Linked DNA regions of Rattus norvegicus. The protein of the gene in region 6 purifies or fractionates together with the protein of the main gene of each other region. This does not show direct contact. Links are inferred from orthologs where the notes say so. Each region holds a gene or a part of one and is shown on either strand. Other genes may lie near its edges.

Region 1 (4,283 bases), on a different chromosome or scaffold from region 6:
TTTACAGCTCAAATGATCTACAGACCAAGGAGCACTGGCATCATTTGGAAGTCTGTAGACTCTCTGGCTTGTCCCAGTCATATACTTAAACAAGGTGCCAGGTGAATCCTATCCACATTCAAGTTTGAGAAACAAGGTCTGTTGCTTTCAGAAGTAGGCCATTCTTTTCATTATGTACCCTCATTTCAATAGCATCCACAGGCCCTTACTCCTTAGGGTCAAATGACCCTTTCACGGGGGTCACATAAGATGGAATGGAAAACACAGATATTTACAAAACAGCATCAAAATAAATTTAAGGTGTTTCAGCAAAGCATGAAGAACTATATTAAAAGGTCACAGCATTAGAAAGGTTGAGAACCTCTGCTCTAGGTTATCAGAACCATCCAGAAATCCTCACTTATATGCCCAATAATGTCAAGCTCTCTAGCTTTTAAGATGCTTCCATTTGAACAGACAGTCTATATTCGCTACTTAGTAACATAGCATTCTGTCTATGGCCCTTAGCATACATTATCTCTATAAATTAGGTACGGGCTGGAGAGATGGCTCAGCGGTTAAGAGCACCCGACTGCTCTTCCAGAGGTCATGAGTTCAATTCCCAGCAACCACATGGTGGCTCACAACCATCTGTAAAGAGATCCAGTGCCCTCTTCTTGTGTATCTGAAGACAACTACAGTTCACTTATATATAATAAATGAATAAATCTTTAAAAAATAGTTTATAAATTAGGTACTACAGTAGTATCCCAAAAATTAAGTTTGTCATACATATATATGGATAGAACTATGAGGATCCACTAGGGTACTTTCATTTTGCAAGTATGAGGCTTATTTTAATGTAAAAACTATGGAAATTCTAGGATAAATTCATATTAAGCTAAAAGTGCTGAAAAGAATTATGACAACTGAAAAACATGCTTAAAGATAATTCAAAGACTCATTTTAGGGAGAAAAATGGTATAAAATTTAATAAGGAGCAGAAATAATGTTAGTCAAACTATGATTATATCAGACTCAGAGCTTGAGCTCAGAAAGATTAACCCAAGGAGGGAAGCCTGTTATGTTACAGCCAGATCACACGATTCCCAGAAAACACTAAAGAGAGGCAAGTTGGGAACTAAAGATTAAAATGATCTAAATTAGATCATTTAAAGAGGCCACCTTTTAAGAGACCACCATGGGGCCAGGCTGGCGTCTATAATTCTAAGAGACCACCATGGGGCATGCATATATATATATATATATACATATATATATATACATACATATATATATACATATATATATACATACATATATATATACATATATATATGTATATATATATAGTTTAGAGGTCTGACCCATAATTGCTACAGCGATAAATAAGAGAGCAGAGCAAACATTTACCAAAATGGAAGAGAAAAATCAATGTTCACTTCCACATGGCAACTGAATAAACAACACTGACATTTGCTAAAACGCAAGTTTGGGAGTGGGGTTCGGATTCAGAGGTCAACTAGTAAAAGCCTTGCCTCCGAGGTGTGCATATATGAAATCCCAGCACTTGGCATGGAAAGAGGACTAGGAGTACAAAGTCAGCCTGCACTAAACATCGATATCCAATACACAAGTGTGCCCTGCATATATCTGGAAAGATACCGTCTACTTATTTAACTTACTTGTTTAGATATTTCTTTCCCCCTATTAGAATGCAAAGGTCTTTTCCATTCAAAAACCATGTATGAACTAGACTCAAAAAAACTTTAAAGATTCTGTTAATGTGTATTTATTTAGAACAGACCACTCAATAAACATTATGCTTGCTGGCTTGGTGATGCACACCTTTAATTATGCAGCACTGGGGTGGCATAAGTGGGCAGATCTGTTGTTAAAGGCCAACCTGGTTTACAGAGCAAGTTCAGCACACCAAGGCTACATAGAGAAATCCTGTCTCGAGGAAAACAAAACAGACAACAACAAAACACGATGCTTCCTATACTACTTCAAGATACAAACCAAACTGACAATCCCTTGATGAGATTAGCCAAATACTTCTCTACAGGGTCTTCCTTTCAAGGACGTTAAGTCTTAAAGAACTTTTAGTCAACAGAAAATTCAGAGCAGAAAGGGAGAAGAAAAGACGAGCATGTGACTCACTTTAAATGCTTATACTAGTAGCTAAACTACTTTTTTCCTCAAAGATCCACAGTGTTTTACTGCTTTTGTTGGCTGCTCCAGGGAATGAACTTAAAAATGACAGTAAGTATTCTAAATGAATGATATCCCCTAATAAAGTCAACTTCGGCTGGAATCTGAATTTAGCATTCACCCCCAGTTCAGTTCTCACGTCCTTAAACAGAGCATGCATCGGCTGCAGCAGTGATGGCTTGAACCATCCGGCGACCGGACACCCCGTTACAGGGGCTCGGCAGACGTTACATCTAGCTCCAGCAAACGCCAGGGAAGAGTTAAGAGTCGGCGAGAGCACCGAGCAAACGCGTCCCTACTTGACCTTCATACCTCTTGTCTCTCAGCCTCCTTGTTCTTCTGCGTTTGCTTTTTTGCGTACCATAGGCCTATCTCGCGACCCTTAAGGTGGGCCGGATGCCGGCCCCGGCCGCCGCGGCCCCCTCCGCCGCCGCCGGAGCCCCGGCTCCCTCCACCGCCGCCGCCAGAGCCCTGGCCGGAGCCCCGTGGGCCCCCGTCGCGGCTCCAGCTCTGATGATAGTCGTAGCTCATTGTCCGAGACGACTACAGGTACCACCAAAACTCAACCGCTGAAAATGGCGCCCAGGACCGGAAGCGGGCGCACATTACCCTCAGCTTTGCTTCCGGCGCCCAGCGCGAGAGGGCGGGCCGTTGAGTGTCACAAGCAGACATTTCCGGTGACGTCACGAACGGCGCCAGAAAGTGTGACCTGCGGTGAAGTTTTTTGTCCGCGTTCTGGTCGGAAGCTTAGGTCCCCTGTGGGATCCGGTCTTTGGGACGGCATGGGTTTTCACCCAGCTTGAGAAAATGTGGAAATTTGAGTGAATTTTAACTACTTTGTTAAAACCTAGAATTTGTTTGCAAGGTCATGGATAGTAAGAACATAGCAAACAAAAGAATCGACCATTGTGTACTCTCCTCAAAGACCAAAGAAGTTCGTATTTCTTAGAAACCGCCTGGCACCTCTTTCACTCAAATCAGTATATACACCGAAATGTCTTCTTTAAAGAGGCTTTAATACTGGGACTGGAGAGATGGCTCAGCTGTTAAGAGCACTGACTGCTCTTCCTAGGGGTCCTGAGTGCAATTCCTAGCAACCACATAGTGACTCACAACCATCCGTAATCAAATCCCATACCTTCCTTTGGTGTTTGTGAAGACTGCTACAGTGCACTCATATACATAAAAAAAATCTTAAAATTTATCTATCTATCATCTATTTATTTATTTATTATGGGAACTTGGGTGTCAGCTCAGTTGATAAGAGTACTTGCATGGCATGATTTCAATCCCAAACAGTATAAATGGTATTGTTCTGCAGGCCTGTAATCTCAGCAAACAGCAGATGGAAGCAGAGGAAACAGAATGTCATCCTTAGCTGTATAATGAATTTGAGGCCAGCATAGGTTATCTGTGTCTAATCTGGAGGTTTCTCAGAAAATTGGAAATGGTTCTACCTGAAGACCCAGCTATACCACTCTTGGGCATATACCCAAAAGATGCAGATACCACAAGGACACATGCTCCATTATGTTCATACCAGCCTTATTTGTAATTGTCAGAAGCTGGAAACAGCCCAGATGTCCCTCAACTGAAGAATGAATACAGAAAATGTTGTTCATTTACTCAATGGAATACTATTCAGCTATTAAAAATGAAGACATCATGAATTTTGCATGCAAATGGATGGAACTAGAAAATATCATCCTGAGCATCGAAATAACCCAGACCCAAATGGACATGCATGGTATGTACTCACTAAATGGATATTAGCCAAAAAGTATAGAATACCTAGGATACAACCCACAGAACTTAAGTTTAACAAGCAGAAAAGCTCAAGTGAGTATGCTTCAATCCCACTTGGGAGGGAGAAGAAAATCTTGGGAGGCAAAGGGAGAGAGACACCTGGGAGAGAGGAGGGGGGTAAGGGGGAACAGGATCAGGTATCAGGGAGTGGGAGGGACAGGAGAGGAGCCCAGAGGACCAGGAGAATGAATGGAAATATTCAGCCTCAGGGGTGGGAGTTGGGGGGACCCTATAGAAAGTACCAGAGATCCAGGAGATGAGAGACTCTCAAGACTCAATGAAGG
Region 2 (4,032 bases), on a different chromosome or scaffold from region 6:
CATCTTTTTTGTGTTTTGAGATTATGTAATGCTGGGTGTCCTGGACATCGCTCTGTAGACAAGACTGGCTTCAGAGTTAGCAATCCCCCTGCCTCCGACTCCTGAGTGCTTGAATTTTAAGGCACGTGCCACCACATCCAGCCCTGTACTGACTGGGAGAGCCACCTCAGCAGAGGCAGCCACCCTCCTGGGTTTTCCCCTCCCAATAAATCTCCTATGAGGTTTGTTGTGTGCTGTGACTTTGTTGTATTCCTTGGCTCCCAATTGCCAGGATACCTTTTGGAACACAGTGAAACACTTTCTCTGGGGAAACCTCCCCTGCCCAAGCAGAGCGGATCCACTTCTGTGGGGGAAGGCCTTTCCCTTCAGAGCTGCGACACTTACACATCCTCCACTGAGAGTGGGAAGGTAGCACAGGGAGGAAGGAGTGTGTTCCTCTGAGTCTCGATTCTGGCTGTGGATGCTCATCAGTTGGTGGCCTTTGCCTAGCATACAAAAGCTCTGGGTTCTGTGGACAATATCGAATGTACAGTCATCGCACCACCAGGGGCTTTGAGGCAGGAAGATTCCCCAGAGTTCCAAACCAGCCTGGGTTACTATATGAGGCCCTCTTTCAAAACAGGCTAGAGAGATGGCTCAGAGGCAAAGAATTGGCTCCCAGCACTTACAAGAGGGGCTAACAATCATCTGTAACTAGTTCTAGAGGATCTGACCCCTTCTCAGCGATTCCCAGGCTAGCCCGGACCAGTGGGACTTGATCTCAAGATAAAAGAAAGAAGCAGTTATCTTCACAGGCTTCAGGAGTGCCAGGGGTAGCAGTGACTACCATTTGGCAGAATCCCTGCTCTCTACTCATTCAATCGATGAATAGTAAAGATGGCCACGAGTCAAGTGGCAGACGGGGTAACTAGAGCTCAAGGAAGGCAGATGCGCGGTCCCTGTGCCACAGTTTCTACACCCAAGACCTTCTGGAAAGAGCCTCAGTTAGCACCTAATGAACATGCAGCCCAGAAGCCTGGCGGTGAGGATGTCGCAACCCCGCATGCGCATCACTAGGCAGCGGTTGGGGCGGAGCCAAGTTCGCGAGCCCAGGTCCTTTAGGCAGTTGAAGGCCCGCCTCTTCGCGCAGGCGCACGACGAATTCCGCCCTCCCGCTCTGCTCCTAGTGCCCCGGTGCGGTTGGCTACTTTCCGGGAGGGACGCGCGCGCCTGCGCCGGCGTCGGGCTCGCGCACGCGCACCGCAGCGGTGGCGGCGGCGGCGGTTCCTGTCCAGGGGGCTGAGAGCGGCGGTCGGCTTTGAGGCGAGCAGCGTTGCGGAGGGGCGCGGCAGCGGCGGCGGCAACTCAGAGCTCGGAGCCGGAGTCCGGGCTCTGCTTCCAGAGGCCGGCTCGGAGCCCGCCCGGTCCTCAGGGCGGCGGCAGCGGCTGCTCCGGGTTACGGCCTAGGCCTAGGCGAAGCCTCGGGCTCGAGTGCGGTGAGGCGCCGGCGGAAGGCGCGGCCCGGGCGGCAAGATGAGCGTGGAGGCGTACGGCCCCAGCTCTCAGACACTCACCTTCTTGGACACTGAGGAGGCCGAGCTGCTCGGTGCCGACACCCAGGGCTCCGAGTTCGAGTTCACCGACTTCACCCTACCCAGCCAGACGCAGACGCCCCCCGGCGGCCCCGGCGGCGCGGGAGGCCCAGGCGGAGCGGGTGCAGGCGGCGCGGCCGGCCAGCTCGACGCGCAAGTGAGTTGAGCGGCGCATGGCGGCGCCGGAAACCGGGCGGGAGCGGGAGCTGCGGCGCCAGGTCTCAGTTAACCAGCCCTGGGCCCCTGTGAACCTGCGCCAGGTCCGAGTTTGTGCTGGTCCGAGCTACCGGCCCCAGGTCCAGTTAATAAGCCTGGGTGTATGCTTCCTACTCTGGCTCCTTAAACAAAATCCCTATTGACCATCTCTAGTTACCCACCCTAGATTCCTGTTTAACTGCCCAGGTACCTGCCACCTGCCTTGGGTCCTTGTTACCTGTCCTAGATCTCTGCTACCCTACCCTGGTTCCCGTTTACTTACCCCTTTCCCAGATCTCTGCTTCCACCTTCAGCTACCTTTTCCAATACCTCTCCCAGGTCTACCTGCCACAGTCATTGCCATCTGCCTCAGGTCCCTACTACATACCATCTCCTCTAATTCCCTGCCTCTTGTCCTAGCCACCTGCACCTAGTCTCTGCTACCTGTCCTGTTTTCCTCCACCCAGCTAGACTGGGCAGTGACCTGCATTAGTGTCCCTCCTCCTGTATAGCACAGAATCTGCTCCAGCTCAAGGCTTATGCCAGAACTGCCCTCACTCCCCTTCTAGGTGGGTCTAAGGTGACCTACACTAGGTTTCTCTGGCCCTAGTGCTATCCTCTGGACCCACACTGTCCTCCAGGGTCACCTATTTGGCTAGTCCAACCATCCCATCTCACCCTCTTGCCACTTCCATCCACCACGCCTCCAGCCAGGGTTCAAGTTTGGTGGAGGGGCTCTCTGGAGCAAATCTAGGGTTTTGGCGCCTCGGGTGGAAACAGCCCACTTTGTGGCTGGTTAAGGTGGCTGAGAGACAGCTGCTGGTTCGTTTTTTCCTTCTGGGTTGCCTGTTGCTGAGACCAGTGTTATGTAACTCCTAGGCTCTGCTTGGAAAAGTTGGGTTTGAGTTTTGTTCCTTAGAGGCAACCACAATGGGTATCACACGGGTGACTGTGCCCTGGGGAGGGGCTTTTGTTTTGAATGACAGACTGTCGGTGTAGGCTAGGGACAGGCCATCCCTACCTCCCTGTCAAATGGCTGGCTTGGTGTTGGGCACCTCTAGGCTTTGTTTTCCTGTATTCTCCGGGGAGCTGCCGACTAGAGCCACAGGTGTTCTTACAGTCCATGTGTGTGCTTAGGGCTAGGGAGCCACCACCAGTCTCCAGCAGTGATCTCAGACCGAGTTCCGGGAGGGCCTTCGAGCTGGCTGGTTGAGTCATATTTGTGGGTAGACCACCCACTTGGGCTCATTTTCAGCCCTAATAGGAGAAGAAGGCTGAGTCAGCCCCTACTGCGGTGCAGGATCAGGTGTGCCTGCGTGTTGTTTCTAGCTATTTACCTTTAGCGTAAGGAGGTGGAGAGAGGGCAGGTTGCCTGGAGGAGTGAAGTGGCCCAGAAGGCCAGTCCTCCTGTTAGTTTCCCCACTAGGTAGACCTACTTACCTACCTTCCTTCCTTCCTTCCTTCCTTCCTTCCTTCCTTCCTTCCTTCCTTCCTTCCAGCCTTATGGGCCTGGAGAGGGGCACTGTGCAGCAGGCTGTGATGGCACAGCTGGGGAGACCAGGAGTGGAAGTGGGGTGCTTCATCTCAAGGTCTTTTAGCTCTAGCTAATGTACAAAGCAGACTTGTGCTATGCGTGTGCTCACATGGGTGTGCCCTGCTCCGCCAGTTGAAACCATAGATTGAGCCATGAGCTGCCGCCCACCTGTGGCCTCTCATCATAAGGGAGGGAGGGAGGGAGGGAGGGAGGAGGGAAGAGATGGAGGAAGGGAGGAAGGGAGAATGGGAAGGAGGGAGGGAGGGCCTTCAATCCTGTATTAGGAAGACCTGTATCTGTGGGCAGAAAGTGAGCAAAATTGGAAAGTGGAAAAAATCCTTTGCACACCCAGTGTCCTCAGCCACCAAAAACATTGCTTTTCGTTATTTATCCTTGGAGGTGAATGGGTCACACAGGGGATCCTAGGAGGATAGACCCCCTACTCAGTAGGTTGAGCTGCCCCTGTGGGCTGCTGGCAGTTCTCTTCTGGCTTTATTGAAGCAGAATCATGGAACCTGCATATATCCCTGGAAAGCTGACAGGACAGTGGCCTTTTGGGCCACCATCATTAATACCAAGTAATGTCTCAGCATCCTGAGTCCCTGTACCCCCAGCCTCTCTCTTCAGCCACCAAGAATCCTGTGGCCTCTGTGGATGTGAATGTCTCAGGCCCTTCCTTTGCTGGATAGATGGCATAGTATACTTGTCCTGTGTCTCTCATGTTTGTGGTTC
Region 3 (3,500 bases), on a different chromosome or scaffold from region 6:
GAGACACAAAAGTGTCCTCTAGACTTTCCATCCCTTTGCCGGCATCGTATCTAGAGAGGAAGAGGAAATATAGAGGGAGTTATTCTGTGCGCATGTGTGTGTAAGCCCGAGAAGACCCAGGCTGTAGTTCTTCAGACACAGTCTCTCTCTTACTGGCCTGAGCTTGCCCAGTTGGCTAGGCTGGCTGATTTTCCTGTCTCTCCTTCCCCAGAGCCGATGGCACAGGTGCATGCCCCCCATCTAGCTTTTTCTTTTCTTTTCTCCTTCCTTCCCTCCTCTCGACCTCACTCCCTCCCTCTTTCTTTCCCTTTTATTGAGACATGGTTTCTGTGTGTAGCCTTGGCTGTCCTGGAACTTGCTTTATAGACCAGGGTGGCCTCGAACTTACAGAGATCCACTTGCCTCTGCCTCCCAAGTGCTGGGATCAAAGGTGTGTGCCACCACTGCCCAGCTCTTCCTTCCTTTCTTAAGTATGGGTTCTGGGGATTGAACACAGTTCCTGCAAATACTTTACTGAGTTACTTTTAAGAATGTCAAGACTAGGGCTGGAGAGATGGCTCAGCGGTTAAGAGCACCCGACTGCTCTTCCAGAGGTCATGAGTTCAATTCCCAGCAACCACATGGTGGCTCACAACCATCTGTAAGGAGATCTGATGCCCTCTTCTGGTGTATCTGAAGACAGCTATAGTATATATAATAAATAAATTTATAAAAAAAAAAAAAAAAAAAAAAAAAAAGAATGTCAAGACTATTGGGCACGGACAAGTGGTCTTCCTTATGTAAGACAGCCACCCTACTCAGGATCTACAGTCTGGTTTATTGTAGGACTGTGGGGTAACTAGTGCCGTGATGATTTAGGTCCATCAGACACCACACACATTTTCTTTAGCCATTTTCTTCTCATCGAAGCACAAGAAAAATCACATGGGAAAATGAATCCATTATTGGTGATTCTGCATGCTTGTTTGACTTGCACATTCCTCACGCTGGCCATGGAACCATATACAATGTTCCTTTAAAGAGTACCTTGGCAGGAACCATTAACAGCTGTGCTATCCTACAGGAGGTTAGTCCCTCTGTCACTTCACCACAAAAGAATACCTCTTTTCTTTCATCTTCCCAGAATCGATGACATACACGACGTCATCAATGGTTATGGAAGTCTCAGCAATGTTGGTGGAAATTATAATCTTAGTCACACCTAGTGGGGGTTTCACAAACACCGCCTGCTGCTCTTCACTGGATAACGACGAGTGCAGTGGGTGAATGACACACCTAAAAGGAAGTGAAGCACAGTAAGGAGTCTGCACCAAGCACTGAAACTGACCTGCAGGTAAATGTCTACTGAAGTTAACTGAATGACCAAGAGTTATGGCGGTTTAGCTATGCTTGGCCCCTGGGAAGTGGCACTATTAGGAGGCGTGCCCTTATTGGAGGAAGTGTAGCCTTTTTAGAAGAAGTCTGTCACTGTGGAAGCCGGGCTTTGAGTCTCCTTTGTATACTTAAGACTGCCAATGTGGGGGAGGCCCCTCTCCTCCTGCTGCCTTTGGATGACAATGTAGAACCCTCACTCAGCTCCTTCCCCAGCACCAACTTTGTCTGTACACCGCCATGCTTCCTGCCATGCTGATAATGGGCTGAGTCTCTGAACCTGTGAGCCAGCCCCAGTAAAATGTTGTCCCTCATAAGTTGCCTTGGTCATGGTGTCTCTTCTCAACAATGGAAACCCTAAGACAGCGTCTGACACTTTTAAGCACTGCCCTCAAGGCCCAGCTCTTAGAGGTGAGAGGCTCCTTCTGTTCTCACAAAATACAACCTTCCAGAAACACAAACCTTGTGCTAACCTGGGAAAAGTTCTGGGATTATTCAGGAGTAAACCACCAAGATTGATTGATACTTTATAAGTAACACACCTAAAAAAAACTGACCAGCAAAGAATAATCTTTTGCCTTAAGTCCAGGTGGGTAGGGGTGGGAGGGCAAAGTGTGACGCAGCTAGGATATTCATTGTATGTGACAGCATACCCAGTGACTGGCGGAAAATTGTTTTCTCTCAAAATGGCAGCATTTCTTTGTTATTATTAATGCTGGCTTTCCCCAGCCTGCTGCCCTCCTCAGGAATCTGGCAACTGAAACTGCATGCAGATTTGCTGAGTCACTATGATAAGTGAAGAGAAAAGTCTGCCCTTGACGGAATGGAGTAACATTTTCTGGAGCACAAAGGCATCCCATTTCAAGCTGGCATAAACAAACAATGTTTGAGAGGTGACACGACAGTCTAAGGAGGGTGAGGACCACAGGGAGCCTTCAGCTCTTCATCTTTGGAGGTGGCTGCAGTGATATCTATGGATAGAAAGCGAGTGGCTTACCGATGACTTCGTCTGTTGTTGAAGAGAGAGTTAGACTGTAGCTGTTCATAAAGCATCTTGATTTCCGCTAGCCCTGGTAAAAACACAAGTATAGCACCTGGGAATAAAAAATTAATAAATAAATAAACAAACAAGGAAAACTAATGTAGATCACAAGACCGTTTTAAAACCAATAACTGATAACTTTACACTATCAGTTTTTCTTTGTAAAGCCTTATTAGTTAAACAAATATGAAATCACACTTTTGTATATACTCTGATTTAATAAGGAAAAAATAGTATTACCTTTTTCCAATAGAAAACTGAGGTATAGAAGAGCATGCTTTGAGTTATACAAGAAGCACTCACCGAGCACACTCTGTGTGTGTGTGTGTGTGTGTGTGTGTGTGTGTGTGTACAGAAACATCTGAGAACTGAAGCAAATGCCTTGCACACATCAGACCCACCTAAGCTCTCCAGTATTCTTAGTATCCTGACCACTGATACCTGTTTCTACTGTAGAAAAGTAACCTTGTAGACCAGAAGATTCCTTTGTTAATGAGATCCAGACATTTTACTGGATACGATACAAACAAACAAACAAACAAACAAAGAAGTCTGATCGGTTAAGTTTAGACACATTTGAAAGAGCTAGTAAATTAACTAGTCACGTCTTACTAACCACTGATGGCCTTTAGCATGTCCACTAAAGACAATCAGCAACAACAGGAGGTCGTAGCGTGTTTCTGTCCTGGCAGCAGTCCCTTCCCAGGTACTTCTGTGGCTGAGACCGCATCTCACCTGGTAGTTCAGGTGGTCTTGAGACTCAGTCTTGAGCTCAGGTATTGAGTCTCCTGCCTCAGTGGCCCAAGTACTGGGGCTACTTGAGCCTCCACACCCAGCTTTCTCTTGTGCTTCATTCATGGAAGAGGCAGGTCACCTCCTCACTAATGTGTCCCTCAGCCTCACACAGGTAAGCAGATGCCCATGCCAGCCGTGCAGCATGGATATTAAACACATCTCCGGAACTCAGTACCTACAGTCATGGCTTTCTCTCCCCATGAAACTAGGAAGGAGTCCAAATCATCACAAAAATAGAGGAGGGCCAAAGAGCACAGAGATTTTTTTCCTCACACACATTACCTTATTTGGC
Region 4 (4,224 bases), on a different chromosome or scaffold from region 6:
CCTCATTGTCTGAAATTTCGGTGCATAAAGGGGCAACTATTCATTTCCCTGTGCTGTTCACTTCATAAAATTTTAACCACACAGGATAGAAATAATGTTGGAATGAAATAAGCATGACAAAAGAAGTTTGAGGTTGGTGGTCTTTTTAATTAACTATATAATCAAAAGTATATCATTTTAATTCTATAACACTGTATCCTGGTTAATATCTCTTAACATGTCCGTGATACCAAGATGCTTTAATTTCTCCAAAGATATCTTGTGAAGCTTTGTTATGTTTTACCTTTGCCTAATTTTTTTTTTCTGAAAATACTCATAATTCATGAACTTTCACCAGACACTATGGTAGAGGCTATGATTACAAAACTGAATAAATAGTGGTCTTTCCTGAAGCCCAAAACCAAACTGATAAATCAAACTAAAACTTCTCTAACAGACTACATCTGTGTCTATAAATAAGCAGGTTCAAGTTTACATTTCCACTGAAAAGTATCTGTCATTTACAGACCAAGAACCTAACATGAAAAATGAAACTATATTCACCTTTTAAAAATATTTATACTTCTGAACATGTATAAATTCGGGGATCCACAGGAAGGTCATTGAACAACTACTAGTAGTCCATTCTCTCCTTTCCCCTACTTAAGGCTCGGTCTCTCTTATTTCTACCTCTGTGTAAACTTCTGGCCCATTCTGCAGTCTCCTGCTCCCATTTCACCATAGGAGTACGTAGTTACCATTGTTTTAACCACGGTGAGCTTTACTTGTCTCTCTTTGCTCAGGGCAGGTTCTGTGGATGGAACTCAGGTTGTTTGGCTTATACAACAGATGCTTTACAAGATGAGCTGCATCCCAGGAGCTAACTTATGTATGTTCTGCACCTGGGAGGTAAGGTGGATTGGAAGAAGAAAAGCTGATCTTGGTATAGACCTAAACGAGTTTATCTATACATACTATTTATAAGAATGTAAAGTTAAAACAGAAACAATGATTTAAATGTAGTCAGACACATGCATACTTTTCTGTAGTAAATATTTTTGAACAAAGTAAGAAAAGTTGTACACTTACCCTTTACTTTTAGAAACTAAACCAAGAGATTGACTTAGTCGGTGAATAAAAGCTCTTTCCGTACTGGTCAGAGAAGAAGGAAATTCCATTTCTACATAGGAAAAAAGGTTCCACTTATAGACAATTACAGGTATAAAAATGAAAAATACATATAAGTATAAATCAAATTACACATTTTATATGAAAAATGTATTTACTCAGTAACTCACACCTAATAGGATTCTGATACTAACTATTAATATTTATTTACTTAATTGTGAGAGAGAGAGAGAGTGTGTGTGTGTGTGTGTGTGTGTGAGAGAGAGAGAGAGAGAGAGAGAGAGAGAGAGAACCATATATGTGCACTGACCACAGGTCAGAAGAAGCATCAGATCCCCTGAAGCTGACTTGATGGTTTTGAGCCATCATCGGGTGCTGAGAATCAAACCTGGGACTTCTGCAAGAGGAACTACTGAGCCATCTCTTCAGCCCAGAATTCTGATATTATGAAGTTACACATACAACCTAAATATGATAAAGGACTTGAAAGTTCATCAAAGATTACTACCTGTGTTGAGATCGATATAACTATGGACATATTTTATCAATTTAAATTATTCTTGCCTTGCTTAACAAAATTCTATTTCCTTCAATAATGAGGTATGTTCATTCAAGCATTAAGAATTCTCAAACTGAAACTCCCATGTTTCTGTTCTCAAAACTGTAGAGGGCTCTTCCTCAATATTTCAGACTGGATTTGTTGTGACATTTTGCCAAGGCTTTGCTGCTGTTAAAAATATATGTTCAAAACCTTTTCAGACAATAAGCCTCAGCAGCAAGGGTCTACTAGCTATCCCAGCAAATTAAAATGAGCATTCAACAGTAAACTCAGTTGTATATTATGAGGCCTGTACTAAATAGGTATCTGACCTGATAAAGTACAAAACACACAAGTTTGTGTTTGATTTGATGCATCTAGAATTTCAATAAAGTCTATAAATACAATAAATTCAAAGCCTCCTCTGAAGTTTTTTAAGCTTAAAATAAGGCTACACCTCAATAATGAGGAAGACAGTGGGGGCTTAATAACTCCTTAAAAAAAATAACGTTGACTTAGCAGCCTTGGGTTGCAGAAAAGTACCTGAGGACATTTTCCCACCTGGGAGTAACCTAGCCTTTCCACCTTCTGATGCCTTAACTTCTGATTCTCTATCCTCCCTAAACTCACCGACCCACTGGGCTTCCCACTCGGTGACCAACAGTCACTAGACGGCGCTGGTTTCGCCTCTGCGGCCCGGCTCTGGGTTCCTCTGCCCATCAGGGGCGGGCCTGGGGGCGGGTGTCAGCCCGCAAGGTCCCCCGTCAGAATCCTCACCTCTCTGGTCACCGTATCGGAAGCGCTCCAGAGCAATGTTGACAGCGATCTTCACCTCCTCGTCGATACGAATGTCTTTGAGGCCTTTGGCCCGGCCACCGCTTCCAGGACCACACGAAGCCGGGCCGCCGCCACCGCCTCCGGTGCCGCCTCCGCTAGGAGCTGGCGGACGCGGCGAGACGCTGCTCGGCCTGGACATGGCCCTGAGGAGAAGCTCGCTCCGCGTGGGAGCGGCCAGGCCTGCTGCCAGCGAGCAGTGACAGAGACAGAGAGCCCGTGGGAGCGCGGCGGACCTACCGCTAGAAAGTCAACGCCGGGAGAGACTAGCGGGAAAGCGTCACTCACAGTAGCGGTGAAAGCGAAAGCGCTGGCACCACTACAGCCCAGAGAAGCCTTGGGTGCGCGGGTGATGACGTCAAGAGTGAGCGCCGCGCACGGCCCCAGAACGCGGGACCTCTGACTATGCTGGAGCAGCCCCGGGGGATGCGGTCCCTGGAGGCTGTAATGCGGTCCTCACGACCCTGAGGCTTTGGTTGTCAAAAAATATCATTAAATTGGAGGACATATTATTCGGTTATCCACTGGATCATTTAATGCTTCATTCCTTTCTTCAGAGCGGGCTTCTGCCCAGCGCTTGATTCACAAACTCGAACACTCTGGAAACAAGGGTTTTACCGCAATTCTGAGGTTCGTGGTCCAGTGGGTCAAATAAGTACAGTGAGTAGACCACTTGGTTTGATTTTAAGTAACGACTAACTTCTTAATGTATGTCTTTCATTCTGAAACACATTGAAAACTTGGTTACCTGAAATAAAGATCTAACTGTGTTTTACCTCGAAACCCTAAAAAGTGGTAACAGTCCTTAAACGTTAAAAGAAAAATGCTTATATGATAGTTATTAAAGTGTTCACTGTTTTAGGTAACAGCCCATCGTGAGTGTGGAACGCATAGCAATGAGAATAGTTATGTTTTGTGGCAAGATTAAGTTTAAGGAGGAACTTATCAAGAGTTGCGGGAGGAGGGGGGGGGGTTGGGGACAGAAGGTGGCAAATGCCTTTAATCCCAGAACTTGGGAGGCAGAGGTAGGTGAATCTCTTAAGTTTGATGCCAGCCCTGTCTACAGAGTGAGTTCTAGAATAGCCAAGGCTATAAGAGAAACCCTGTCTCAAAAAACAAACAAAAAAGGAGTTGGGAAGATTATGAGAATTGCCATTGGTTCAAATAGAGTCCTATGAACATAAATCTAATTCCAATGACCTGAATTGCTTCCACTGTAGTGCCACTATTGTCACTCTCCGAAGAGCAACAGACATGATTGTTTCCTTTTTTCAAAATGAGAACCAGAGTGTACTAAGATGCCCTCATATGCAGCCTTCCAGTTTCTCTCCTCTGCAACTAGAACAAACCATAAATTTCTCAATATCAAGAGCACTCAAGATCTTCTAGGATACCTACACTCACGGTGATGCTAACACTTACCCTCACACTGCTCAGATACACTTAATTTTGTTGTTTGGTTTTTGTCTTGCATGGTTTTTGTCTTGGAGAAGGCAGTCTTCCTCTGAGAATTCCTCTGTACCATAGTTTAAAACATAATTGTGGCCCTTACACAGGCATGCTTTCAAATCTTGTGTTATCATTTGCAACATTTGAAAGTATCTTATTTTCTCTTGCAAAAGTTATAAACTACTAAGAAAATGAATGTTATCTTGAATTGTCCTCATTCCTTCACACGAGTAATTTTCTCTCATGTAGCCTGGTCTACAGAGCAAGTCCCAGGACAGCCATGGCTATACAGAGTA
Region 5 (4,022 bases), on a different chromosome or scaffold from region 6:
TTCTGTCCCCAGCTCCGAAAAAAAGAAAAAAGAAAAAAAAAAAAAAGAGCACTGACTGCTCTTCCAGAGGTCCTGAGTTCAAATCCCAGCAACCACATAGTGTCTGTCAACCATCTGTATGGGGATCCGATGCCCTCTTCTGGTGTGTCTGAAAAGAGTAACAGTGTACTTACCTACATAAAATAAACAAATCTTTTTTTTTTTTTTTTAAAGATACTGCTCTTGGAGAAGACCTGAAATCGGTTTCTGGCAGCGCACCAGACAGCTCGTAACTGCCTGTAGCTCCAGCCCCAGGGTATCTGATGCTTCTGGCCTCCACGGGCACCGGAAATCATACCATCTCACAGGTGTACACATAATTTAAGAAATAAATCTTTAAGAAAATAGTACTAGCCGTTTTCCAAAGTGCCCATGTAAACCTTTCACTCCAACAGCAGCACATGGAGACAGTAGGGACAGTAGGGCTGTGTCCTTGCCAGCTGCTCCTTCAGTTGTGTCTTTTGGACGGATATTCCTTGTGGTTTCAGTTTGCAAAGCAAGAGTAGGGCACTACTTGTTGCTTTTTTCTCTAGAGAGGTGAGGCCAAGATGTTTTCATTTTTATACCTCCATAGTTTTTGACTTTTGGGTTTGGGTTTTTTTCCATTAACTTTATTATGTTTTTTGTTTGTTTGTTCGTTCTGTTTTTTTTTTTTTTTTTTTTTTTGAGACAGGTTCTCATTGTGTAGTCCTGAATGTCTTGGAGTTCACTATATCAATATATAGACTAGGCTTGCGTTGAAATCACAGAGATCAACCTACCTCTGTTGCCTAGGTGCTGGGATTACACATGTATTTATTTTGTTATTTTTGTGTTTAGACAGGCTCTTGCATTTCGCAGCGTAGAGAGTAGGCTGGCTTTAAACTCATGACAATCCTCAAGTTTGCTGGGATTACAGGCGTGCCGACACCACGCTCCGCTTGAACAACCGATTTTTTGAGAGTAATATAAATTTGTCTTTTTAATTCCAAAGAAATTCCCGTTGTATAAGGCTTTCTCCACGACCATAAACCTTGACGGTGCAGCAGGAGCCCAAAGCAACCGAAACGCCAGCACTCTTTTCTGTGTAAGAACTCAGAGCAATCAGGGAGCTTCAGACCGGATGTTGATTGTTTTTGCCGTGGTAACAAGCTGGAGACAGGAAGTGACATCAGAGGAAGAGGACGCGGAGCCGGCTGAGAATACACACGTGGGTTCTGCTGTGAGTTCTGCTGTCTCTTCGGCGTGGTTGTTCGCGTGTTCTCTGAGCAAGTCCGAGCCACCGTTTGGTCAACATGGGTCGCTCGGGGAAATTGCCATCTGGTGTCTCGGCCAAGCTGAAGCGCTGGAAGAAAGGCCACAGCAGCGACAGCAACCCCACCACTTGCCGCCATCGCCAGGCCGCTCGCAGCCGCTTCTTCAGCCGCCCATCAGGTAGCCCGGCCGTGGGATTCCTTGTCTCGTGGCATTCGGCCTGCCACATTAGAATGTCAGCCTTGGGGCTCACATCGAAGACCCGCCCCTCGAGTTTGACAGATGCGGAAACTGTCCTCTAAAGGGAAGTGACTTGTCTAGGATACCGCGGCCTCAGGGTTGAGATACATAATTGTCACTACCCTTGGGTGGCTCTTTAGATTTATGTATGTGTTGAGGGAGTGTAAGGGAGAGAACCCACGACCTTGTGCACTCTAACTAAACACTCAACTACTAACCCACATCTTCAGCCTTAGGATGTCTCTGTACAGTATGCGACCCCGGCTCTGGATGTCTCAGTGCCTGAAGTGGAGGGAAGCAGAAACAGATCTTGGGGGTTCCTTTCTCTTGGCTTCAAAAGTTGCAAGAGTGCACAAGGCTGTGCAGGCAAGCCGGGTTGGGAATCCAGCCGCTGGGACTGGGGTCTAAGCCCTCTGGTTTGTTTCTTAGGGGTTCGGTTCCTTCAATCAGAGGAAGCTTGGGTGGAAATGGGGACATTACCTTGTTAATCTGGTTCTCAGGGAAGAGCGACCTGACAGTTGATGCCGTGAAGTTGCATAATGAGCTGCAGTCTGGGACCTTGAGCCTGGGCAAAAGCCAAGCCCCTGAGACGACCATGGACCAAGACCCGGAGGTGGCTTTCACTGAGAAGTCCTCGGGCACATTTCTGAGTGGCTTGTCTGACTGTACAAACGTCACCTTCAGCAAAGTGCAGCGCTTTTGGGAATCCAACTCAGCTGCTCACAAGGAGGTAGGAGATTGGTTACCGGCTTTGTGGGGCAGTAGGCGGGGCACATTCAGGACTTCTTACTTACAGCTCTGGTGACAGCAGCTGGTATTTCTGGACGATGGGTCATCTCTCGTACCCTTTGTGCCTTTTTTATAGACTCTTCTTGGGCAGAGTCCCCCTAAAAACATGTGTGGTAATGTTCGTATGTCTTTGAAAAAAAATTTTTTTGAGACAAGGTTTCCATATGTAGACCAGGCTGACTTCAAGTTCACAGAGGTCAATCTGCCATTGCCTTTCAAGTGCTGTGGTTAAAGGTTTGTGTCATGCTCAACAAAGCATATTTATTTATTTATTTATTTATTTTTAAATTATTTATTTACTATATATGAGTACACTGTAGCTGTCTTCAGACACACCAAAAGAGGGCATCAGGTCCCATTACAGATGGTTGTGAGCCACCATGTGGTTGCTGGGATTTGAAATCAGGACCTCTGGGAGAACAGTCACTGCTCCCAACCACTGAGCCATCTCTCCAGCCCTATTTATTTTTTTTTTTTTAAAAGAAGACTTTTTATTTAATGTATATGGATAGCTGTCTTCAGGCACACCAGAAAAGGCTATCAGACTTTATTTCAGATGGTTGTGAGCCACCATGTGGTTGCTGGGAATTGAACTCAGGACCTCTGGAAGAGCAGTCAGTGCTCCTAACCACTGAGCCATCTCTCCAGCCCCAGTATATTTATTTTTATTGTGTGCCAAGGCATGTATGAAGGTCAGAGGATGTTAGGGAGACCTTTCTCTTCCTTCCACTATGTAGGGCTCAGGGTAAAAAACTTCACTGCTGAGTAAAAATCCTTGAGGGTAGAAATGTTTTCACTGCTTATCTCCTCAACTGTACTTTTTTTTTTTTTTTTCTTTTCTTTTTTTTTTTTCAGAGCTGGGGACCGAACCCAGGGCCTTGTGCTTGCTAGGCAAGCGCTCTACCACTGAGCTAAATCCCCAACCCTCAACTGTACTTCACACAGCAATTCTTACATGTTATATCCAGGGACACCACTGTTCACGTTCATGGTGACTAACCGTGGTTAGGATTCGTTTTGTTTAGCAAGAAATGTTTTACTTAATTGACGTTTCATAGTTAATATGCTTATACTTTTCATTGTCTAAATGAGGAATAGCAAAATGCTAAATGATACAGAGATATAAAGAGACCAAAATATTATAATTATTCTCCCAATTCGATAACTCCAGTGGGTGTTGTTAATGGGTGAGTATGTGTATTTCTAGACTAGCACTGCCCAGTTTGTGATGTAAAGTGAGCCACAGGTATAGTTTTACATTTTTAGGAGCTGCATTTAAAAAGTAAAAAAGAAATAGGTGAAATTAATGTATTTGACCAGTATGTATAAAATATTAGTATTTCAACAAATTTGGTCAATTTTTATGTTACACTCTGTTTTTCATTTATTTCATTTCGGTTTATGTGTGCATGTGAGCCCTATCTCCTGGAGTTGGAGTTGGTTGTGAGCTACTCAGTGTGGGTGCTGGGATCCAAACTCCCGTCCCGTGCAACAGCAGCAAGAATTCCTAACCACTGAGCCATGTAGATGTGCAGCCCCATCAGTCAGGATTTGTTGTGGTTGTTTTCTTTTTAAACTAGGGTCTCACTCTGTACCCCTGAAACTTGATGTATAGACCAGGCTAGCCTTGAACTTGAGATCTATACGGCTCTGTCACCCAAGTGCTGAGATTAAAGGTGTGTCACTGCCTGATGACAAGGTCTTTTAGTGTAGCTCAGGTT
Region 6 (3,500 bases):
AAACTCAAAACCTACAGGGCAGTGGTGTCAAAACCTTTAATCCCAGCACTTGGGAGGCAGAGCCAGGTGGGTCTCTGTTTGAGAGTTTAGGTCAGCGTGGTCTGCAGAGTGAGGACAGCTAAGATTACAGAGAAACCCTGTCTCTAAAAACAAGCAAAAAAAGAGGGCACAAATCCAAACCCATACTTCATTAATTCATCCCAAAAATGTGCCAAAAAAGAGGTACCAAAGTGTGGCATAAAAAATAAATTTGTTGGGGTTGGGGATTTGGCTCAGTGGCAGAGCGCTTGCCTAGGAAGCGCAAGGCCCTGGGTTCAGTCCCCAGCTTCGAAAAAAAGAACCAATAAATAAATAAATAAATAAATTTGTTGATTTTTTTTTTCATGCTTTTTAAATTTGGGGGGAGGGGCACATGCCGCAGTGTGCATGTGGAAATCAGAGGACAGCTAGGGGGAGTCTGTCCTTCCCTCATGTGCATCCCAGAAGCTAAACTTGAGTTTTCAGCCTTGGCAGCAACTGAGTACCCACTGCGCCATCCTGCCAGCCCTTTAATATAACTTTTAAAGTAGATCTGCCATTCTAAGTGTTCTGGCCTTGAGGCTACTATGTAGCCCAGGCTGGCCTGCAGCCCCAGCTGGTGCTTTCTGTCCAGGCTCCCTGAATGCTGGGATTGCAGGGTGGGCAGAGGCTTATTTGTGCACTTTTCCTCCAAGTGGGCAGTAGCTCTTTGTAGGTTTGTCTGTCTGACATTTTTTTCTTTCTTTCTTTTTTTTTTTTTTTGGTTCTTATATTCAGAGCTGGGGACCGAACCCAGGGCCTTGTGCTTCCTAGGCAAGCGCTCTACCACTGAGCTAAATCCCCAACCCCCCCCCCCTTTTTTTTTCTTTTAAGAATTGTCTATTGGGGCTGGAGAGATGGTTCAGTGGTTACGAACACTAACTGCTCTTCCTAGAGGTCCTGAGTTCAAGTCCCAGGAACCACATGGTGGCTCACAACCATCTGTATTGAGATCTGATGCCCTCAATATACAGTGTACTCACATAAAATAAATCTTTTAAAAAATTACTTATTTTATGCATATGAGTACACTGTATAACTGTCTTCAGATACACCAGAGGATTCCTGGAATCTCTTCCATTTTAATCCTTATCATGAAACTGACTTCAATTTTCAGAAACACTGTCTTTATGATTTCAAACTTAAAAGATTATAGGAATAGACAAAATTTCTCAGTTCTTCCCCAGATTTTGCCCTGGTTATTGTATTTTTTTTATTTCTGTTCGGTTTTATTTGTTTTTTGGAGTGGCTGGTTCAGGAGGGTTCTCACTATGTTGGCCTGAAATGCATCTGTGTGTGTGTGTGTGTGTGTGTGTGTGTGTGTGTGTGTGTGTGTGTGTGTAAATGTCAGACTGGCCTCACTCTAAGAGATCCATCTGCCTTTGTCTCCCAAGTACTGGGATGAAAGGGTTGTACCACCAAACATGGCCAGTTTTATCATCTTAGTGACTGTAAATACAGCGTTCAGTATGTTTCTAAATCTTTTCATGTGTATTTCCTAAGAAGGGACGGTTCACTTATGGTGGAGAGGGGTTCTGTTTTGTCGTTTGAGATAGGTCTCCTCGTGTGGTCCACTCTGGCCTCACTCTGGGGTGACAGGCGTGTGCTGCCACACTGGGCTCGGATGGCGTTGGGGTCTCTCATCTGTGAGATAGGAGTTCTGTCACTTTTCTTCCTGTCTCACAGGGACACGTCATAGGTTTGCAGTTCTGTTTTTTGGCTCAGTAATGAAGGCAAATAGTAAAATCTCGCCTTTCCATCTGGTAGAGCAAGCTGCACATGGAAGGTTTCCGAAGCCTCAAGGAGGGTGAGGCAGTGGAGTTCACCTTTAAGAAGTCTGCCAAGGGTCTAGAGTCCATCCGCGTCACTGGCCCTGGTGGCGTGTTCTGTATTGGGAGTGAGCGACGGCCAAAGGGGAAGAGCATGCAGAAACGAAGATCCAAAGGAGACAGGTACGGCCAGGAGGGGAGCGCCACTCGACTGCCACTGAGATCCCATTGCCAAAGGTAACGTAAGCTGTGAGACTAACCATTGTGAAGTGTGGCACTGGTCACAAGGACATTAGAAGCAAAGGTTATGGGGTTGGGGATTTAGCTCAGTGGTAGAGCACTTGCCTAGCAATCGCAAGGCCCTGGGTTCGGTCCCCAGCTCCGAAAAATAGAAAAGAAAAAAAAAAAAGAAGCAAAGGTTATAATGCAGATCTGTGTGTGATGAGGTGAGATGGTATGTTGGGGATCCACAGGACTGGAGCTTCAATTGGCTACCCTCTGCAGTTTGCTATGAGGCTTAGAACCTCTTAGCCTCTGAAGAGATAATATAATTTGGCTTTAAAATTTTTTTCTTAGCCTGACATGGTCACACATGCCTTTAATCCCAGCACTCAGGAGGCAGAGGCAGGATTCTTTTTTTTTTTTTTTTTTTTTTAAAGATTTATTTATTTATTATGAGTACACTGTAGCTGTCTTCAGACACACCAGAAGAGGGCATCAGATCTAATTACAGATGGTTGTGAGCCACCATGTGGTTGCTGGGAATTGAACTCAGGACCTCTGGAAGAGCAGTCAGTGCTCTTAACCGCTGAGCCATCTCTCCAGCCCCCAGAGGCAGGATTCTTGAGTTTGAGGTCTACAGAGGGAGTAACAAGACAGCCAAGGCTATCCAGAGAAACCCTGTGTCAAAAAAACAAAAAGGCAAAACAAAACAAAAAGATCATTCTTTAGCCAGGTTAGGTGGTACAAGCTTATGATGCTAGGACTCAGGAGACAGGCAAACGATGAACCTCCGCCAGTTCAAGGTCAGGCAGGAGCAAAGAGTGAAACCTTGACTTAAAAATGAATGAATAGGGGTTGGGGATTTAGCTCAGCGGTAGAGCGCTTGAAGGCCCTGGGTTCAATCCCCAGCTCCGAAAAAAAGAAGAAAAAAAATGAATGAATAAACAGGTAAACAGGGCTGAAGGGATGGCTCAGGAGTTAAGAGCACTTCCCTCACAGAAGACTGAGGCAGTCTCATCTCGCCCGCCCGCAAGCTGTACTTCACAGCTGTGATCTATTTGTGTTCCCTTCAGCTTTTCAAGTTGTTAACTGGAGGATCATCTACAATGTTGCAGGATATTTGGATCACATTGGGAACCCTGAGGTTGTGAACTGGAGAAAGCTGTTTCTTGTGTTGAGGTTCAGCCCTAGCAAGCGCCTTTAACTAACCCCAAGAGCTTCCTGTTTACTATGTAAACAAGAGCTAAACAGTGAGGATGGGCCTTAAAGCCAAGCTAGGAACCTGTGGACTGTGGACAGGGAGTGAGCTTAAGAGAAGGGACAGGGAGGTAGAGAGGGAGAGGGAGGGGGGAGGGGAAGAGGAGGGAGGGAGGGAGGGAGGGAGTGTGTGGAGATGGCTCAGCAATTAAGAGCACTGACTGCTCTTCCAGAGGTCCTGAGTTCAAATCCCAG
Region 7 (3,599 bases), on a different chromosome or scaffold from region 6:
ATGTAAATACTTGGTATACTGTATTGTTAGGGAGTAAGTTCAAAGAAAAATGCATATACATATTTAGTACAGACACAATTTTTCATGAATATTTTCATTTTACAGTGGAAAAATCCACAGATGTCCACCTAGTGAATGAAATTAAAACACTTTCTCCAGATGTTAGGAACCTCCTAAGTATTCAGTCCACAAACATTGACCTTATCTCCCACTCCAGACACTTGACATCTGACGCCCATATTTTTTTCAGATGTGTTCAAGAAGTATGAAGTAAAATAAATAAATAAATAAAAATTTAATAACCTGAACCACTATTCAAGTCAAGTAGTCTGCTTGATCAGCACTATGTGAAATAAGCTTTCATCACTTCATAAGGGTAACGGGACCCTTTCTTCTTTCTACTTCTAGTCAGGCAATTTAGAATCTGCCTGAGAAGCCAGTGGGATATGAGCAGACTCTAAGAGTGGTTGAGTCCAGTCTGAGAATCATGAAGGGGTGACAAGGAATGGAGAATGAAAAATCATGAAGGGGTGACAAGGAATGGAGAGTGAAACTTGCCTGGAAAAGAAGTGTAAAAAATGAGAAACTACACCTGAAAGAACTGAGACCATCTCTCTCCCTTCATAGACGAAATATGTTGAAGACCACCAGCATGCACTCTGGGTTCTAGAGAACAGGGCTGAGCCTGGACCCAGACTTCCAACTTTTGCTTCAGTCCCCAGGCCTATCATTCATTCAGACTCTCGGGAAACTTGCATCACCGAGGTTTTGAGCGATGCGCATATCTACATCGTCGTACTTTGTACCCTTGAAGTTCTATGGAATAACAGGTCGGGGCAATGACGACCACAGGTAAGATATCAGAAATTAAGCACTCAGTTGACAGAGGCCATCCTCACTCGATTCCTTGAGCCAGGGACCCATGTCCCCCTCCTATTGCGGACTCCCACTCCTTCTTCCACCGAGTACCCGTCCCCAAAGATGACCCCAGTCTGGACATCGCCCTGCCGGATGGAAACCTACAGACCTCACAGCCACTGAACTCTTAAGGATCCTCCCTCCTTCCAGACGGTACTGCAGAGCCACACGTGACACTGATCTGCGCCAGCCACCGTATTTCAGACTACAGTCGCGTACGTGACGTCACTACCATGCGCCTCTTCTGCATCAAGAGAAATATGGCTTTAGCCGGGCCAACGCGGCTATTATCATTAGCAGTCCGGTTGCTTCTGGAACCTCGACGGAACATAGTGTTGCGCGGTTCCGACCAGTCCTTGCCTGTTGTGCGCATTCCGCGGGCTCTGCAGCGACGGCAGGAACAGCGACGGAGCGACCGTGGGAGTTTCCAACGGCCGGTGCTAGTGCAACCTGGTCCACTCCTGGTCTCGGCAAAGCGGCCAGAGTTGAACCAGCCCGCACGCCTCACGCTGGGCCGTTGGGAGCGGGCACCACTGGCTTCGCGTGGCTGGAAGCATCGGCGATCGCGTCAGGACCATTTTTCCATAGAGCGAGTGCAGCAAGAGGCGCCCGCCATGAGGAACCTCTCGTCCCGGGGCAACTTCGTGGACCTGGGTCTAGAACCCCGAGTACTGCTCGCGCTTCAGAAGGCTGTCCCCGAAATTGTTCAGCCAACCTCCGTGCAGTCGAAAACCATTCCCCCACTGCTTCGCGGCCGCCACATCCTTTGCGCTGCTGAAACCGGTAGCGGCAAGACGCTTAGCTATCTACTGCCCCTATTTCAACGGCTCCTAAAAGGGCCAGAGCTGGACTCCCGCAGTTCCACCGCTCCTCGAGGCTTGGTTCTGGTACCTTCCCGAGAATTAGCCGAACAGGTGCAGGCAGTGGCCCAGTCATTGGGTAGGTACTTGGACCTGCAGGTTATAGAACTTGGCGGAGGCCTGGGAATGAATAGGCTCAAACTTCAGCTGGGTAAATGGCCGTCAGCAGATGTGCTAGTGGCTACTCCAGGGGCGCTGTGGAAGGCTCTGAAAAGTCAACTGATCAGCTTACATCATCTTAACTTCATAGTGCTGGATGAAGTAGACACGCTGCTAGATGAAAGCTTCGTGGAACTGGTGGACTACATCTTGGGAAAGAGCCCTATAGCAGAAAGTCCAGCTGAGTTAGAAGACCCCTTTAATCCCAAAGCTCAGTTAGTGATGGTGGGAGCCACATTTCCAGAAGGCCTAAACCAATTGCTGAGTAAAGTCACCAGCCCAGACAGTCTGACCACCATCACCAGCTCCAAGCTCCACTGCATCATGCCTCATGTCAGACAGACATTTATGAGACTAAAGGGAACAGAGAAGGTGACAGAACTGATTCAGATCCTCAAACAGCATGACAAAGCAAATAAGGCAGAACCCTCGGGAACTGTCCTGGTATTCTGCAACAGCGCCAGCACCGTGAACTGGCTTGGGTACATTCTGGATGACCACAAAATCCAACATTTAAGGCTGCAAGGGCAAATGCCAGCCTCAATGAGGGCAGGTATCTTCCAGAGTTTCCAGAAGGGCTCCCAAAACATACTTGTCTGCACAGACATTGCCTCACGAGGCCTAGACAGCATCCACGTGGAAATGGTTGTCAATTATGATTTTCCCCCTACTCTGCAGGATTACATCCACAGAGCAGGAAGGGTGGGTCGAGTGGGCAGTGAAGTGCCGGGGACTGTTACCAGTTTTGTGACCCATCCCTGGGATGTGAGCCTGGTTCAGAAAATTGAACTGGCAGCTCGTAGAAGGAGAAGCCTTCCAGGACTAACATCTTCAGTGAGGGACCCATTGCCTCAACAAGACTGACTTTTTTGGCTGACTTAAACCTACAATAGAGCAGGGATCTTCTTGGAGGTCCAGGAAAGTTGAACACTTGTCTTTTGATGACATTGGGTCATACCAGCCCCTCGCCTCTCTGCAGTATAATGAATTGTTTCGAGATCTGAAAAATAAACTACTAGACAGGAATGGAGAGTAACATTCAAACAATAAAGTGGGGGGTTGGGGATTTAGCTCAGTGGTAGAGCGCTTGCCTAGCAAGTGCAAGGCCCTGGGTTCAGTCCCCAGCTCCGAAAAAATAAAAAATAAAGTGGATGTTGACTTTACATAATGTCATGGTTTCTTTTTCTTCTAATTGTATGTGTGTGTGTGGAGGTCAGAGGACAATTCTGTGTAGTCAGTATTCTCTTTCCACCTTTTTGTGTTCCAGGGATCTAACTGAGATCATCCTGCTTGTTTGACAAGTGCCTTTACCCACTGAGCTATCTCAATGGACCACACATCATGAGTTCTAAAAAACTATTTGTATGTGTGTTTTGAAACAAGTTGGCACTGTATATCACACAATGGACTTGGTCCCTAGTAATCTTCCATTCTTTTTTTTTTTTTAAAGACAGGGTCCCTTTCCTGGTGGTGGCACATGCCTTAATCCAGTACTCAGGAGGCAAAACACAGGTGGATCTCTGAGTTCACTTAGCTAACAGTGGTTTTGTGGGGACAGCCTTAATAGTAACCACCATTTGAAGAGAATTCAGTAGATTTTAATGATTTATACTCTACCACATGGGATTTGTTGGCTTGGGTTGTGTTGCTTTGATTTTTTTT

Evidence for each region.
Region 1: the proteins of Lin28a (region 6) and Dhx36 purify together in Homo sapiens (affinity purification with mass spectrometry; 3 studies listed by BioGRID and IntAct, with this or other methods). This does not show direct contact. The link is inferred for Rattus norvegicus from reciprocal best matches to the Homo sapiens genes LIN28A and DHX36.
Region 2: the proteins of Lin28a (region 6) and Upf1 purify together in Homo sapiens (affinity purification with mass spectrometry; 3 studies listed by BioGRID and IntAct, with this or other methods). This does not show direct contact. The link is inferred for Rattus norvegicus from reciprocal best matches to the Homo sapiens genes LIN28A and UPF1.
Region 3: the proteins of Lin28a (region 6) and Dhx57 purify together in Homo sapiens (affinity purification with mass spectrometry; 3 studies listed by BioGRID and IntAct, with this or other methods). This does not show direct contact. The link is inferred for Rattus norvegicus from reciprocal best matches to the Homo sapiens genes LIN28A and DHX57.
Region 4: the proteins of Lin28a (region 6) and Ythdc2 purify together in Homo sapiens (co-immunoprecipitation; 3 studies listed by BioGRID and IntAct, with this or other methods). This does not show direct contact. The link is inferred for Rattus norvegicus from reciprocal best matches to the Homo sapiens genes LIN28A and YTHDC2.
Region 5: the proteins of Lin28a (region 6) and Rrp12 purify together in Homo sapiens (affinity purification with mass spectrometry; 3 studies listed by BioGRID and IntAct, with this or other methods). This does not show direct contact. The link is inferred for Rattus norvegicus from reciprocal best matches to the Homo sapiens genes LIN28A and RRP12.
Region 7: the proteins of Lin28a (region 6) and Ddx28 purify together in Homo sapiens (co-immunoprecipitation; 3 studies listed by BioGRID and IntAct, with this or other methods). This does not show direct contact. The link is inferred for Rattus norvegicus from reciprocal best matches to the Homo sapiens genes LIN28A and DDX28.

What each region holds. Positions count from the first base shown.
Region 1 is NC_086020.1:149,041,392-149,045,674, forward strand, and holds the start of Dhx36 (ATP-dependent DNA/RNA helicase DHX36), read right to left. Parts: upstream 2,801-4,283; 5' UTR 2,725-2,800; coding exon 2,506-2,724; intron 1-2,505.
Region 2 is NC_086034.1:19,109,306-19,113,337, forward strand, and holds the start of Upf1 (UPF1, RNA helicase and ATPase), read left to right. Parts: upstream 1-1,232; 5' UTR 1,233-1,512; coding exon 1,513-1,728; intron 1,729-4,032. UniProt on the Homo sapiens protein: RNA-dependent helicase required for nonsense-mediated decay (NMD) of aberrant mRNAs containing premature stop codons and modulates the expression level of normal mRNAs.
Region 3 is NC_086024.1:20,509,299-20,512,798, reverse strand, and holds part of Dhx57 (putative ATP-dependent RNA helicase DHX57), read right to left. Parts: intron 2,466-3,500; coding exon 2,369-2,465; intron 1,276-2,368; coding exon 1,102-1,275; intron 51-1,101; coding exon 1-50. UniProt on the Homo sapiens protein: Probable ATP-binding RNA helicase.
Region 4 is NC_086036.1:37,515,862-37,520,085, reverse strand, and holds the start of Ythdc2 (probable ATP-dependent RNA helicase YTHDC2), read right to left. Parts: upstream 2,801-4,224; 5' UTR 2,622-2,800; coding exon 2,423-2,621; intron 1,160-2,422; coding exon 1,069-1,159; intron 1-1,068. UniProt on the Homo sapiens protein: 3'-5' RNA helicase that plays a key role in the male and female germline by promoting transition from mitotic to meiotic divisions in stem cells.
Region 5 is NC_086019.1:250,652,519-250,656,540, reverse strand, and holds the start of Rrp12 (RRP12-like protein), read left to right. Parts: upstream 1-1,222; 5' UTR 1,223-1,313; coding exon 1,314-1,452; intron 1,453-2,012; coding exon 2,013-2,242; intron 2,243-4,022.
Region 6 is NC_086023.1:151,514,385-151,517,884, reverse strand, and holds part of Lin28a (protein lin-28 homolog A), read left to right. Parts: intron 1-1,824; coding exon 1,825-2,009; intron 2,010-3,500. UniProt on the Homo sapiens protein: RNA-binding protein that inhibits processing of pre-let-7 miRNAs and regulates translation of mRNAs that control developmental timing, pluripotency and metabolism.
Region 7 is NC_086037.1:50,819,143-50,822,741, reverse strand, and holds Ddx28 (probable ATP-dependent RNA helicase DDX28), read left to right. Parts: upstream 1-1,168; 5' UTR 1,169-1,178; coding exon 1,179-2,801; 3' UTR 2,802-3,099; downstream 3,100-3,599. UniProt on the Homo sapiens protein: Plays an essential role in facilitating the proper assembly of the mitochondrial large ribosomal subunit and its helicase activity is essential for this function. May be involved in RNA processing or transport. Has RNA and Mg(2+)-dependent ATPase activity.